Macaca fascicularis: one gene and its partners. The protein of the gene in region 2 purifies or fractionates together with the protein of the main gene of each other region. This does not show direct contact. Links are inferred from orthologs where the notes say so. Each region holds a gene or a part of one and is shown on either strand. Other genes may lie near its edges.

What was found.
Region 1: the proteins of gamma-interferon-inducible protein 16 (region 2) and DDX54 purify together in Homo sapiens (affinity purification with mass spectrometry; 3 studies listed by BioGRID and IntAct, with this or other methods). This does not show direct contact. The link is inferred for Macaca fascicularis from reciprocal best matches to the Homo sapiens genes IFI16 and DDX54.
Region 3: the proteins of gamma-interferon-inducible protein 16 (region 2) and RRS1 purify together in Homo sapiens (affinity purification with mass spectrometry; 3 studies listed by BioGRID and IntAct, with this or other methods). This does not show direct contact. The link is inferred for Macaca fascicularis from reciprocal best matches to the Homo sapiens genes IFI16 and RRS1.
Region 4: the proteins of gamma-interferon-inducible protein 16 (region 2) and NAT10 purify together in Homo sapiens (affinity purification with mass spectrometry; 3 studies listed by BioGRID and IntAct, with this or other methods). This does not show direct contact. The link is inferred for Macaca fascicularis from reciprocal best matches to the Homo sapiens genes IFI16 and NAT10.

What each region holds. Positions count from the first base shown.
Region 1 is NC_088385.1:120,109,702-120,113,672, forward strand, and holds the start of DDX54 (ATP-dependent RNA helicase DDX54), read right to left. Parts: upstream 2,801-3,971; 5' UTR 2,779-2,800; coding exon 2,605-2,778; intron 1-2,604. Other genes in the region: RITA1 (RBPJ-interacting and tubulin-associated protein 1), read left to right, coding at 3,339-3,346.
Region 2 is NC_088375.1:102,032,000-102,034,308, forward strand, and holds the end of gamma-interferon-inducible protein 16, read right to left. Parts: intron 2,128-2,309; coding exon 1,936-2,127; intron 836-1,935; coding exon 755-835; 3' UTR 501-754; downstream 1-500.
Region 3 is NC_088382.1:76,416,294-76,419,902, reverse strand, and holds RRS1 (ribosome biogenesis regulatory protein homolog), read right to left. Parts: upstream 2,204-3,609; 5' UTR 2,086-2,203; coding exon 988-2,085; 3' UTR 501-987; downstream 1-500. UniProt on the Homo sapiens protein: Involved in ribosomal large subunit assembly. May regulate the localization of the 5S RNP/5S ribonucleoprotein particle to the nucleolus.
Region 4 is NC_088388.1:31,470,425-31,474,558, forward strand, and holds the start of NAT10 (RNA cytidine acetyltransferase), read right to left. Parts: upstream 2,801-4,134; 5' UTR 2,329-2,800; intron 1,777-2,328; exon of another isoform or gene 1,683-1,776; intron 1-1,682. UniProt on the Homo sapiens protein: RNA cytidine acetyltransferase that catalyzes the formation of N(4)-acetylcytidine (ac4C) modification on mRNAs, 18S rRNA and tRNAs.

The DNA of each region.
Region 1 (3,971 bases), on a different chromosome or scaffold from region 2:
ACAGAGCCAGACTCCGTCTCAAAAAAAAAAAAAAAAGATTTACCATCTGGCCCTTGATAGGTCGGTCAACCCCTGCTCTAAGCACATGAAAACAAGGTGCCTGGGACACACAGGCACCTGCAATAGCTACTGAACAGCATGTATGAACAGCATGTCCTTTGGTCTTTTTTTTTTTTTTGAGACAGTCTCATTCAGTCACCCAGGCTGGAGTGCAGTGGGAGGATCTTGGATCACTGCAGCCTCCATCTCCTAGGTTCAAGCAATTCTCCTGTCTCAGCCTCCCAACTAGCTGGGACTACAGGCACGTGGACTACAGGCACGCGCCACCAGGCCTGGTTAATTTTTGTATTTTTAGTAGAGACGGGGTTTCACCATGTTGGCAAGGCTGGTCTCAAACTCCTGACCTCAAGTGATCCACTCACGTTGGCATCCCAAAGTGCTCAGATTACAGGCATGAGCCGCCACGCCCAGCCTCCTTTCGTCTTTTCAACTTTTTTTTTTTTTTTTTTTTGAGACACAGTTTCACTCTGTTACCCAGGCTGGAGTGCAGTGGGGCAATCACAGCTCACCTAGCTCAGGTGATCCTCCTACCTCAGTCTCCCAAGTAGCTGGGAATACAGGCACACAGCACCATGCCCAGCTAATTTTTGTATTTTTTGTAGATGCAGAGTCTCACCATGTTGCCCAGGCTGGTCTTGAACTCCTGACATCAAGTGATCCTCACTCCTCCAACTCCCAAAGTGCTGGGATTACAGGCATGAGCCATGGCACCTGGCCAACAATCTTTGAAACATATATAATCATTTACTTGCCTTCTACAGATGTGGAAACAGTCACAGAGAAGTTAAGCAACCTCTCCAATGTCCCACAGCCAGTGCAAGGTTGGGCCAGATTTGAACACAGGGCGGTGCCGTGAGAACGCCCTTGGTCTGAACTACACACAGACTCCTCTTCTTTGGTACTCACTACCTCTGCCCACCTGTGCTGTTCATTACCTTTAGTAGTTTCTCTACATTTGTTGAGCACCTACTGTGTGCCAGGAGCTGGCTAGGCTGGAAGGGGAGGGAGATGGTGGGATGAGGTCTCCTCCAGTTCCTGCCTTGGGGTTTGATCCTTTCTCTTCATATAAATGCCCACTTACTCATCTCCTTGCCCTGAGCCTACCTGGTGCCAGGCACCTGCTGGGAACAGGACTGTGGGAAATAATGGCCAAAACCCTTCTGCCCCGTTGGTGCTCACACCTGTCCCCTCATGTGCATACATGTAGCATTCAGTAATGGAAAGGGCACAGGCCTTGGAATCAGACAGTCCCAAGTTTGAATCTCCTGGCTCTTGTACTCACAAGCTGTAGGGTCTTGGTCAAGTTTCTTTCTTTCTTTTTTTTGTAAAGCTGGGATCTCCTTTTTGTGTGTGTGTGTGTGTGTGTGTGTGTGTGTGTGTGTGTGTGTGTGTGTGTGTAGCCACTGCTCACTGTAGTCTCCGCTTCCCAGGTTCAAGTGATCCTCCCATGTCAGCCTCTGTAGGAGCTGGGACCACAGGCAGGCGCCACCACGCCAGGCTAATTTTTTTTTTTTCTTTTTTGAGACAGAGTCTTGCTCTGTCACCCAGGCTGGAGTGCAGTGGTGCGATATTGGCTCACTGCAACCTCTGCCTCCCAGTTTCAAGCGATTCTCCTGCCTCAGCCTCCCTAGTAGCTGGGATTACAGGCGCGTGCCACTACAACTGGCTATTTTTGTATTTTTAGTAGAGACAGGGTTTCACCATGTTGGCCAGGCTGGTCTTGCACTCCCCACCTCAAGTGATCCGCCCACCTCGGCCTCCTAAAGTGCTGGGATTACAGGCTTGAGCCACTGCGGCCATCCTCATTTTTTAATTTTTTGTAGAGTCGGGGGCCTCCCTATGTTGCCCAGGCTGATCTTGAACTCCTGACCTCAAGCAATCCTCCCACCTCAGCCTCCCTAAGTGCTGGGTTTACAGGCGTGTAGCCACTACACCAGGCCTTTGACTATTTCTTAACCCTCGAGGCCTCAATTTCCTCCTGTGGAAAAATGAAGATGACAGTTGCCGGTGGTGTTAGCACAGCGTTGGTGTGAGGATTACATAATAAGGCTCGTACAGCTCTTAGCATGGAGCCTGGCACATAGTAAATGGTCAACAAACACAAACTGGCCGGGCTCATGCTAATTTTTAAATTAGCTTCCCAGAGGTTTGGGGGCGTCACTGTCTCAAGCCACGCAGTCCGTCCTTCCCTTAACTCAACCTCCCAAGAACGCTCCAAACTCTCAAAGTCAGATTTTCTGCACCGGCACTTTTCATTGGGCGAAAGGCAACCAGGATCCGCCCCATGTGCAGGAGGCAGCCAATGAGAGACGCGCGACCAAAACCCGGCAGGAAGGCCCCGCAGGCTCCAGCCGCGGGACCCTAAGCCTGACAAGCCCCGAGACACGTGCTCAGGCCGGCGGTCCCAAGACCGGTCCTCGGGCTGGCAGCCTCCCTCCTCACTCTCTGCGGAGCCCACTCCCCAGCTGGGGAAACTGAGGCCTCGGGGCGCTGCCGGGAGCCGGGTCTCGGGCCCCAAAGTGCGTCCCAGCCCCAAGCGCCTACCTTCTGGGCCCGGGCGTCATCTTCCGCCTGGATCTCAAACTCGCCGTCCTCCGAGTCGCTGCCGCGGGCCTGGGAGGCCGTGCCTCGGCGCTTCCGGAGCCCCTTCTTCTTCCTCCACTGGGCCATGGCAGCTCTCGACCGAGGGCCGGCCGCCGGGCGCCTGCCTGCCGCCATTCGGGCCTCGCGCTGGGAACGCAAAAGGGGGCGTGGCCTGCGGCGCGCACCAACTGCTTGGGGCGGGGAGGCGCGATGGCCATGTGACCTCGGCTGCGCTTTCGCCAGTGTCTGCGGCCCTGGGCGGCCTAGTACACCAGCCCCTGAGTGAGTGGCACCAGAGGCCCCTCGCCGTGTTTAGGTACCTCCTGGGCGTCAGGGGCGTGGCGCCCGCCCCTGGGCGGACTCCCCCCATCCCTTGGCGCGAATGGTCCGGGCCGCGTGCGCAGTGCTGCTGGCTGCTCCCTGTTTGCTGGGTGCTAGGTGCTGGGTTCTGGTTTTCTGGATGCGCGCGCCGCTCACACGTCGCCTGTGCCAGCTCCTCGGGTGAGTTGGTCCGCGCGCGGTGCCCCGGCACGGCCTGGGCTGCCGGCGGTCCGGGGCCCCGGGCATTCCGGGCTGCAAATTGACGCGGATCCCGGATGCACCGCGCTCCCCCGCGCCCTCGCCGGGGGGTCCAGATCTGGAGGGAAGAAGACGCGGGGAGGGGTCCTTGAGGACCCCGATGACTACGAACCAAGATGCTCAGGTAGGAGAAAGCTCAAAAATGCAGGGACCTCGGGCATTTTTTAATCGGGTCATTGAATTTGGGAGTCGCAGAATGTGGGGCAGTGGGGGCGGCGGTAATCTCCCGATAGCAGTGTAGCCAAGTACACAAGCTCTGGACTCAGATTTCACTTCCACCGTTTTAGCTTTATAGGTGTGACCTACACATGTGACTTCACCTCAGTTTTGTGATCTGTAAAATGGACAAATTCGAAGCTACTTCACAGTGCTGTTGAGAGGATTAAATGAAACAATGCTTGTAAAGCTCTTTGCAGGAGGTAGGCATGGAATCCACGCTGGCTGTCATTGCCCCTGCACCCATCAGTACACACAGGATATAGGAATGTGCCTGTCTCCCCTACCACCATAGTGCGTTTTCTGGTTGGTGCCTAAATGGGCACAGGTGTCATCTCTCCTTCACCCCCAGAGTCATTCTATAAATGATTGCCAGTAGCACCCCTTTCTCCACCATTTTGACAACTAAAAAAAAAAGCCAAAAAAATTTCCAAAATGCCCCCTGAAGTTGACAGCTCCCCTTTGAGATATTGGTTGAGAGAGAACTAAACCCTTGGGATGAGAACTTCAGAGACTACCAGTATTCCTCCATT
Region 2 (2,309 bases):
ATGGATCAGATCACTATAGTGGATTGTGAGAAAAGGAAATATGGTTCGAAAGTGCCTGAAGAGCAGTCGGTGTTTGAGGAAATGCATAAAACCAGATATTTCACATCAGGCAGGCCCAGATATTCCTCTAACACAGACAAGTGCCTTCATGCACATCACCAGAAGGTACCTTATTTGGCAGAAAATTTACCCAATTATGCCCCCTCCAGGAGACCAATTCTGAAAAGGTATCTACTGCTCTGGGCTAAAACAATAACACAGCGCTTGGCAACTGAACCACAAGCTGGATTTCACCCTACCTACCCCTTCAGCCTGGTTTCTTTCAGCAGAACACAGCCTGTTCATTCTTGACCAGGGCTTTACCCTGTAAAGATCACACCCAAAGTATAAATCCAAATATTGCTTGAGGCCTGTGTGCCCCACCCTAATTTGCAGACCACAAACTATTTGCTTTTAAGCAACTCATGGATGGATTAAAAAGACTGCTGGGGAAGAATTCCTTTCAGAAAAAAGATAATGTTTATTTTTTTTTTTTCAAATTATAGAAGTTGAAGATACAACATATGACATTTTATTAAAAAAAAACCTATAAAGAATTTAAAAAGCACTCCCAATACCCCATTCCATAGGATTAACAGCTGGTATATATGATAATGGTGTGCATATATAGTGTCGTATTTCAACCAGGTATATGTACATTTTTTAGGCACTTAGACCTATCTCCATAAACATTACCATCAATGACATTCAGATTTTAGAAGAAAAAGCCTGGTGAAGTTTCCATACTTGAATCAGGATTGAATATGTCTTTCTTGTTTTTCCTGGCCTTGATGACCTTGAAGGAGAAAGAGATAAAGACAGACCAGTTGAGATGCTGGTGATCCCACATTTCTCTCTTCAATCACACTGTATCTCCTCCCCATGCACCATATCTCTTCCCCTATTCCTTTCTAAATGATTCTTTTCTCACTCCCATCTGTCTCCTTTAATAAATTCTTGACCTTTGAGTCATGCCTCTCTCTTTAATTGGGACCGTGAAATAAGATATTCACTCCTACTTAGCATGAGTGCAAGTGAAAGAGCAGGAGATGTCAGGGAACAACAGGAGAGAGAAAGGAGCTGGTGCACCCAATGACTAGAGTTGAGGGGAAGGTTTTCATTGGGCAGAAAGGAAGGAAGAGAGTACAAAAGGTATTCCTGGTGCAATTGCTATCAAAGAAGATTTGGAATGTTTGACTGATGTTCCCGAGAACTGAAGCAATCTGAGAGCATGTGTGTGCCTGAATATGTCAGCCTTTGTTTTGAATTGTTTGCCTTCCAGTATTAGCCTTTGTTAGTGTTCCAAGAATCCCACATGAATGTGTGTGTCAGTGTGGCAAAAAGCATGAACTTTGTTATGTAGACCCAACTACCTCTGTCAGATGTAAACCAGTGTATGTATCTCACTAAAGGCAGGTACCTTTGTGATCTGATTTGCTCAGATGCATTCTTGGTAATTTAGGGCTGCTGTGAGCTAAGTTGATGACCCTCTATGGTAGACAATATTTCTCCCATTTCACAAATGATGAACTTGAGGTTCCTAGTGTTAAGTCTTTAGTCAACTAGAAAATCACAGAGCCAGCATTTGAAACAAATGTGCCTTAACCAAACGCAAATTCTGATTAAATTATCTCCATGCTGTGGTAAAAGCAACCAATTCTTTCTTATTTAACTTAGGTATCATAGCCTTTGAAAGTCTCTCTAATTTTTTTTATTATGATTACAAGTATCCTTCTTCAAAAACAATGATGGGAAGTTTACACCCAGTAAAGTGCAAGGCTTTGTTCCTTTTCCACTTGCTAAACTCTCCGTGTAATAGTAGCAGTCTAGTTTTCTTAAAGTATAAACAAAACGATTTGCCACTTTGGAAAAATGATGTTCCCATAAAGTTCCAACCTTGATGTGACTATGAATTACAGATCTCAACTCCCCGTTATTGCCACTTTTCGGTGCCAATTCAAAGCAGGTGAGTTTCAGTTTATCTCCTTCCTCACAGTTGATTGTGGTCAGTCGTCCATGCACCACCACTTCCATCTTCCCTGTATTATCTTGTATTTCATAATAAGTGAATTCACCCCTTACATTTTTCTGCAAAAGAAAATTAACACTTATCTTCTGAAACTGGATCAATAATTTTCCAATCTATGAGAAATACAGGGTGTTTCTGGAAACTTTGGTCTTTGATAGAGTAAATAGAGCTGGAGGTCCTGAATGACAGGTACCAAATAGCTTCAGACACTTGGTCTGTGAATCCTGCCTTTTCAATCCTC
Region 3 (3,609 bases), on a different chromosome or scaffold from region 2:
AACAGCCATTGGTTTTACTACTTTGAATATTATATTTGATACCAAAAGAAGTATAAGTTTAAAAGTGGTCTCACTGAAACTATTATAATTTAATTGCTTTTTTTTTTTTTTGAGGTCCCTCTGTTGCCCAGGCTGGAGTGGAGTGCAGTGGCGTGATCTGGGCTCACTGCAACCTCTGCCTCCCAGGTTCAAACGATCCTCCTGCCTCAGCCTCCCAAGTAGCTGAGACTACAGGTACCAGCCACCATGTCCGGCTAATTTTTTAATTTTTAGTAGAGATGGGGTTTCACTGTGTTGGCCAGGCTGGTGTCAAACTCCTGACCTCAGGTGATCCGCCTGCCTCTGCCTCCCAAAGTGCTGGGACTCTATAGGAGTGAGCCACTGCGCCCGGCCTGCTTTGTGTTTTTTAGAAAGTAAACAAAAATAATCTGTACCAGGTATCCCGGTAACTGGCTTCATGTACAATTTCTACCCAATAGTCAGAAAGTTAAAAGCCACACTAGATAAGACATCTTTATTACTTAACCTTTAAAACAGTCACTTGCCTATCCAATTCTGAAACTGTTTTCTTTCCCTTCCCCGCACCCCCCGCTCTGATACACAAGCTTGTTGTAAAAATAATGCAGAAACATATACGTCAATTTAAGTGTGAAATATGGCCAACTCTACCTCACCCTATATCCAAAGTTAAAAATAAAAAAGGCTGTTTAAGAATAGAACTCATTCCTGGTTTCCACCAAATTATTTCCCTAATTCTTAAATCCTCAAATAAGTTCTTAATCTCCAGCCAAAGTCTCGGTTGTGGGAAAAACATTAATTTCTGCAGTCCAACACTTACATACTCTCTTGAGGGAAGGGCAATCCTGTCCCTTTAAACTCAATGAAGGCAGCGGCCAGGTCCTTCTGAGTCCCCGTACAAGTACCTAGAACTTAACACTTAGTATTTATAGTCCTTGGTTTTCAGTCGGGTCCGACGGTGAGAAACTATTACTTCCTCCTCGTTCCTCCTGGGCGCTGTCCTCCTTTTCTCTTGTCACCCAAGCCACGCGGCCCGGAATTCATCTTGCCTCCCAAGCTCCCTTTCCTCTTCCCTCCCTGGCTGGGCGGCCCCCCTTTCCTCTTGCCCCCAGGTCCCTGCCGGCCTCCCTTTCTCTTGCCCTTCTGGCTCATTTTCCTCCTCTTGGCGGCCTCCTCCTGGTCCTCCTCCCTCATCTGCTTATTGGTGGCTCTTGTCACATCCAGCTGAGGCTTTTTGCTGTTCATCACACGAAGCAGCTCCAACTGGTTCTTTTTCTCGGCTGCAAAGTCCCCGAAAAGGGGTTGAAACTTCCTCTTCTTGCCGGAGCCCCGGGGCGCCTTCTCCTTGGGGAGGCGCTCCTGGAAGCGCCCCACAGAGGCGGTGGAGACCTTGGCCACCTGCATAGCGCGGCCCAGCTCCTCCTTACTCTGGTGTCCGGTAGGGTGCAAGCCGGCCGCGCTGGGCAGCTGCATCTTGTGCGCGCGGGCCAGGTTACGCAGCCGGTTCAGCTCGTTCTTGGCCACTCGTTCTTTCTTGGCCTGAATACGCTTGGCGAACTGGTCCTCCAAGGGGTCGGCATTGCCGGGCACCTCAATCAGCCATTCCTTGGTGTCGTCCCGGGCGCGCTGGTAGCCCCAGCGCCGCCGCCACTGGCTGCTCACCTCGTCCCACACCAGGTTGGTCTTCTTCTTGGGACGGATGCCCTTGAGGCGCGCGAACTGCTGCCAGCGTGTAAGTGGCCGCGGCCGGGGCAGAGGCTTCTCTCGCGGCAGGCGTGTGGTGGGCTCCGGCAGCCGCGCCACTATCGTCTCTTCCACGCGCTCCGTGGGCAGCTGCCACAGCTGGTTGATGAGCAATTGCGTATTGTCCCGCGCCAGGGCCCGCAGCTCGGCCTCCGGCGTGGGTCCGGCGCACCGCAGTCCAATCGGGGGGTTCCGGTCCGAAGCCAGGAGGTTGCCCAGGTCAAACTCCAGCTCCAGCTCCTTGTGCACCGTGATGCGTTGCAACTTCTCTGCCTCGTCCTGCTCTGCCTTTGCCAGCAGCTCCTCCACGCTCTGGCCCTCCATGGCTCCGGCTCGGCTCACTCGCTTTGGGGCTGCAGCTGAAGTTACTTTTCCTACAGCGGCGGCCCAAACTCCGGCAACATAACCACGTGCAGACGCCGGGATGCCCAATCCGGAAAAGAAAGGTTCGCTTCCGGAGCGCCCGGAACCGGCTCGCCATCCGGGCAACCAGAGGAAAGGCCGGCAGAGGGCGGTATGGAGAGATGATAGGATTAGAAGCGGCACCTTAGGCTGACGCCTGATAGAGGCGGAGCTGGCGCCAGCAGCCAGCACTACTCGTTCCAGAGCAGGATTGGGACTACGATTCCCAGGATGCAGCGGGGCGCGGGGGCGGTCCAGGGGGCGGTCCTGGGACAGTCTCGCTGTCGGTCTAGAGAGGGCGGTCCTGGGGGGCGGTCTAGGGGGCGGTCCTGGGCGGGCAGTTCAGGGTGTGGTGTTAGGATGGTGGTCCGGGGACAGTCTTGGGGCGCAATCCGGCGGGGCGGTCCAGGACCAGGGCGGGTACAAATTCCTGGGACTGCCTGTGGTGTGGGTTTCCAATCAAGTGCATGTTACAATTTCTGTGTAAATCCGTTGTGAAGATGTTTAGACAATCACCCTTCTTAGGGCCAAATTGTTTCACCGGAGTCATAATTTGCTTTCAGGGTTCCTAGTTGTGGCACGAGAAACATAACATCCCACAGATGCTAATTGTAGAAGATTGGTTTTGTTTTGGGAGTCAGTGGCTCTGGCAATGAAGCTGCCCCGAGTGGGCGCAGGTGTGCACCGACCCTAGCGAGCTAGCTGACTTGGAGCTCCGGGGTTCTGCAGTTACAGAACCTAGTCTAGTACAATGCTGAAACTACGCTACACTCTGCAGTTACACTCTCCGCCAGGCTCTGCAGTTACACTGCCTAGGTTCCAATCCTGACTGTGCCACTGTTGGTGCTTCAGCAATTTTACTTGTTGAGGCCATTTTAAGGCCTGTGAGATAAGGATAAAAATACTTTCTAGGGTGGTTATAAGATAAATGAGTTAATATCTTCCAAGGGAGGGTTAAACGAGGGCCTGAAGCATATGAGTACTCGATACAAGTTAGCTAAATACCGATTATTTCGTTTTCATAGGCTCTGGGAGCTAAGCTGAAGAGGCAGTGCTGCATGGTGTTCTGCAGTGGTTCTTGAGTTAAACGGCCTACAGTCAGGTATCAGGTCACAATTACTTGGAGAGGATGTTTGACCTAAAGCCTTATTTATAAATTGACAAACATGAAACATTAGTTCCTGCTACATAGTAAGAACTCAATATGTGTTAGCTATTAGTATTAACTATGTTATTAATTATTGTATTAACTATATTATTTTCACAGATGAAACAAGGAGGGCTCAGAGAGGTGAAATGACTTATCTAAAGTTATGCAACTAGGAAGTATAAGAACAAGAGATATGTTAACTCTGGCTTTAAGTCTGTAGATGTGTTCTCTGATTGTCATCCAAGCTCTTGATACTTATTAAAGTGTGGTCTGCATACCAGCAGCATAATATCCCC
Region 4 (4,134 bases), on a different chromosome or scaffold from region 2:
CCCTCTAAGAGCTCCATAGGGAAGACATCAGTCTCTAGTTTTAAACTCAGGAAACCTTGGGCTTGGGAGGTGAGAAAACCTCCCCTCAGCCTGGGAAGCCTGTAATTCACCTCTATTAAAGACTTTTTAAAAATCAGAAACTTGTATATTCAAAAAAGTAGGAGAATGACTAAAATACATAGGGTATATCCAAATATCCAAAGCATTTTGTTTGTTTTTGAGACGGAGTCTCACTCTGTTGCCAGGCTGGAGTGCAGTGGCATGATCTTGGCTTCCTGCAACCTCTGCCTCCTGGGTTCAACCAATCCTCCTGCCTCAGCCTCCCGAGTAGCTGGGACTACAGGCGCACGCTGGCCAGGATGGTCTTGATCTCTTGACCTCCCAATCCGCCCGCCTCAGCCTCCCAAAGTGCTGGGATTACAGGCGTGAGCCACCACACACAGCCAAGCATTTTTAATAACTAAGGATATGGATATAGATGTTTATGACAGAATCATGACAGAATAAAGTATCATAACATTTCTAATGCATACACATAACAGAGGGGGAAAAAAAAAGACTGGAAGGAAGTATCAAAGTATAAAGTAGCTACTTCTAGATGGTGGGACTTTTGTTGTTTTGTTTTTGTGGAGTCTTAAAAAATTCACGTGTTACTAATAAAGTCAGGGAAATCAATAACTATCAATGAATAATTCCATGATGTAATGTGTCCAAATGTTTCCTCATTTTAAAACTATACTGAAGCCTTTGTACAGACCTCAAAAGTTCTCGCCGGGTGTGGTGGTTCACGCCTGTAAGCCCAGCACTTTGGAAGGCCGAGGCGGGTGGATCACCTGAAGTCAGGAATTCGAGACCAACCTGGCCAACATGGCGAAACCCCATCTCTACCAAAAACACAAAACTTAGCCGGGAGTGGTGGTGGAGCTGCAGGAGAGGCTGAGGCAAGAGAATCACTTGAAACCGGAAGGCGGAAGTTGCAGTGAGCCGAGATCGTGTGCCATTGCACTCCAACCTAGGCGACAGAGCGAGACTCCGTCTCAAAAAAAAAAAAAAAAAAAAAAAAAAAAATAGTTCCTTGATTACCTACAGTAAAATATTGCATCATCACAATAAAAACGTCAGAAATATCACTCTAAAAGTAACATGCTACTTCGATGTAAAAGTGACATGCTACTTAGAAATTCCGGTACCTACTGCATTACAAACATCAAGTTCATTTACTGAAGCTTACCACACTTTTTTTTTTTTTTTTTTTCTTTTGAGACGGAGTCTCGCTCTGTCGCCCAGGCTGGAGTGCAGTGGCCGCATCTCAGCTCACTGCAAGCTCCGCCTCCCGGGTCTACGCCATTCTCCTGCCTCAGCCTCCCGAGTAGCTGGGACTACAGGCGCCCGCCACCTCACCCGGCTAGTTTTTTGTATTTTTTAGTAGAGACGGGGTTTCACTGTATTAGCCAGGCTGGTCTCGATCTCCTGACCTTGTGATCCGCCCGTCTCGGCCTCCCAAAGTGCTGGGATTACAGGCTTGAGCCACCGCGCCCGGCCTAGCTTACCACACTTTAACTGTCCCTTCTAACCTTCCAATCCAAACACAGATTTTAGCATATGTCTTATTATAAAACACTAAATCACTGTCAAGGACCCCAATTTATAAGTAAAGGAGAAAGTATAAAGAATTCAAATACCCCAACGCAGAAAAACGAGAGACAGAATTCACACTCAAGTCTTCCCGACTCCAAAACCTGAGCTCTTCCCAGTTCACCAATCTTCTCAACTTGTAAACCCTGTGTTGCCGGCCACATAAAGATCCCGCAAAAATCAATCAACAACTAATTAATGGGGGCTGCCTTTTGCTCTAACTACTGTGGGAGCCCCAGAAGTAGTACCACAAGGCCCTTGACTTCAAGCTTGCATTCTTCGTGAAGAAGGTATTTAAAAGAATGAGATGAGGAACAAGAACCAGGTAAAATTAGATGTAAAAAAAACAGCTATAGTGCGGGGTCAGATGAAGGAAGCGCTGAGATTACTATAGGCTGAAGCTGTCATGGAAGGCCTGGATGGGGAAGGCCTTGAAGGAGATGATTATTTTTCACTCACTCATTCATTTATCTATCTACACATAACATCTAGGTGGCAGGCACCACTTTAGGTGCACTGGCAAACAAAACCAAATCCTGAATGTGATTGCTGAATAAAAAGTATAAAGGAATGTGCACAGTGAAGGATTTAAGAACGTGGAAGGATCTGGAATCAGATTACCTAAGTTTAAAGCTTAGAGCTGCCGCCGGGCACTGCGGGCAAGCTCCACGGAAAGCAAGTGTTGTCACCCACCCATTCAACCCGACTCCCCAGTTACAGGCACTTAGCGGGTGAGTATCAAGCCACGCAATCCCCGAGGATGCTCGAGAAGCACGCGCCCAGAGCGGCTGCGTATTGGAGAGGTGATTCTGTTATCTAGGAGCGCCCCAAAAGAGGGGTGGAGGACAGTCGGCGTAGGCCAGGTATCCGTCCGGATGCAGAGCCTTCATCCTGAGGCCGGTCCCCTCTCGGGACAGGAAGAACACAGACACCGATCTTGGCATCCATACGCGGCCCTCCCGCGTTGGGTACCTGCGTCCCGAGCCCGGCGGATCCCAGCCAGTGGAGAAGCAGAAGCACGTGGGAGCACGGAACAACTCCGAAAGAGAAGGCACAACTAACTGCCCCTAGCGGATGCCTGGTGACCGGGTCTCGGACTTGGCCTGGCTCCGCGGCACGCGCCGCTCTCAGGCACTGGTACACTGCACGTGCGCAAGCGCATTACAGTCGCAGCGATGGCGAGCGAGAAGGGACCTTCCTCAAGGCTGTCGCTGAGTAATGACGTAAGCCACCGGAGGCGGAGCTGGGGTCTAGATGTCCACTGCGGTTGCGCATTTTAGTCTCACAGCTCGCGGTAGCTGGGGTATTGGGTGCGGTTTGCCTCTTCACGCTCATCATATCCGAACTAAGGTACCTTGGCTGAGAAGGGCAAAATAGATGTCCGCACCCCCAGGGCCTGCCCACTAGGTCCAGGGTTTTCAGCGTCAGCCTGGGTACGCGAGACGCGACGGATCCAGCTATCTGTGCTCAATTTAACCGATCCCCGTAAGTTGAGGAAACTCGGCCGACAGACCTATTTTATTGGTCTCGCTTGTCCCTCCACCCCCACAGTACTGATCTTACAGATGGGAATCCTGTAATCTACCCATGACTGCGGCCTCTGTACTTTGCAGGCTCCCATTAGGCCTGCAAAGTCAAATGAAATTACTCCCCCTGGGCTTCCAGTAAACTCCAAGAACATGACTACAAGGACAACCTATACATAGCGTGTTGCATTCTTGACTTTGGGGCAGATCGCTGAACTTCAAAAAGCATTATCAACTGCTTGATGTTTCCTCCTGGATACCGCAGATGTCTGAATGCAAACCCCTTCCCCAGATAGACACTTCCAATTTTAATGTCATCAGCAGCACCACCCATTTAATCCAACATTCATCATGAAATTTTTTAGTTCATTCAGCAAAATGTCAATATGCCCATGCACTATTCTGCTCACAAGGGATAGTGACCAAAATGTTACTGCCCCTCGTGGTTAATTCTAGGTTGTTTTAAATGCTATTAAGCAAAAGTATCCAGTGAGTGAAGTAACTAAGGGCACTATTTTAGAAGCGAACACGGAAGGCCTCTGACGGGGGAGGGGGTGACACTGGATGAAACAAGGACCTAAAATTTATAAAGAATAAGCCCTGACAGTATCTGAGTGAAATGCTCCCCCATGCCAAAGATGTACATACAAAAGCTCCAAGATGGGGAAGAAGTCCTGGCAAAGCAGTCTGTGGCCAAAGCAGTGGGCAAGTGAAGGACCAGATTTAGAATTTAATTCTAGTCATCATGAGAAACCACTGGAGTTTGTGGGGGACAGGGAAATGAGAAAATGTGCTTTGCCCTCTTAAAAGGCTCTTAGCCAAAAAACTAAACCACAGGAAGGCAACGGTAGAAAACGGGAGAACGATTATAAGCTATTGTAGTCACCTGTGCTAGGATGGTAGTCGTGGCAGTGGTTAAAAGTATTAGATAACTGGATATTCAAGTTAAACTACGTGAACTCACTTAAGGATT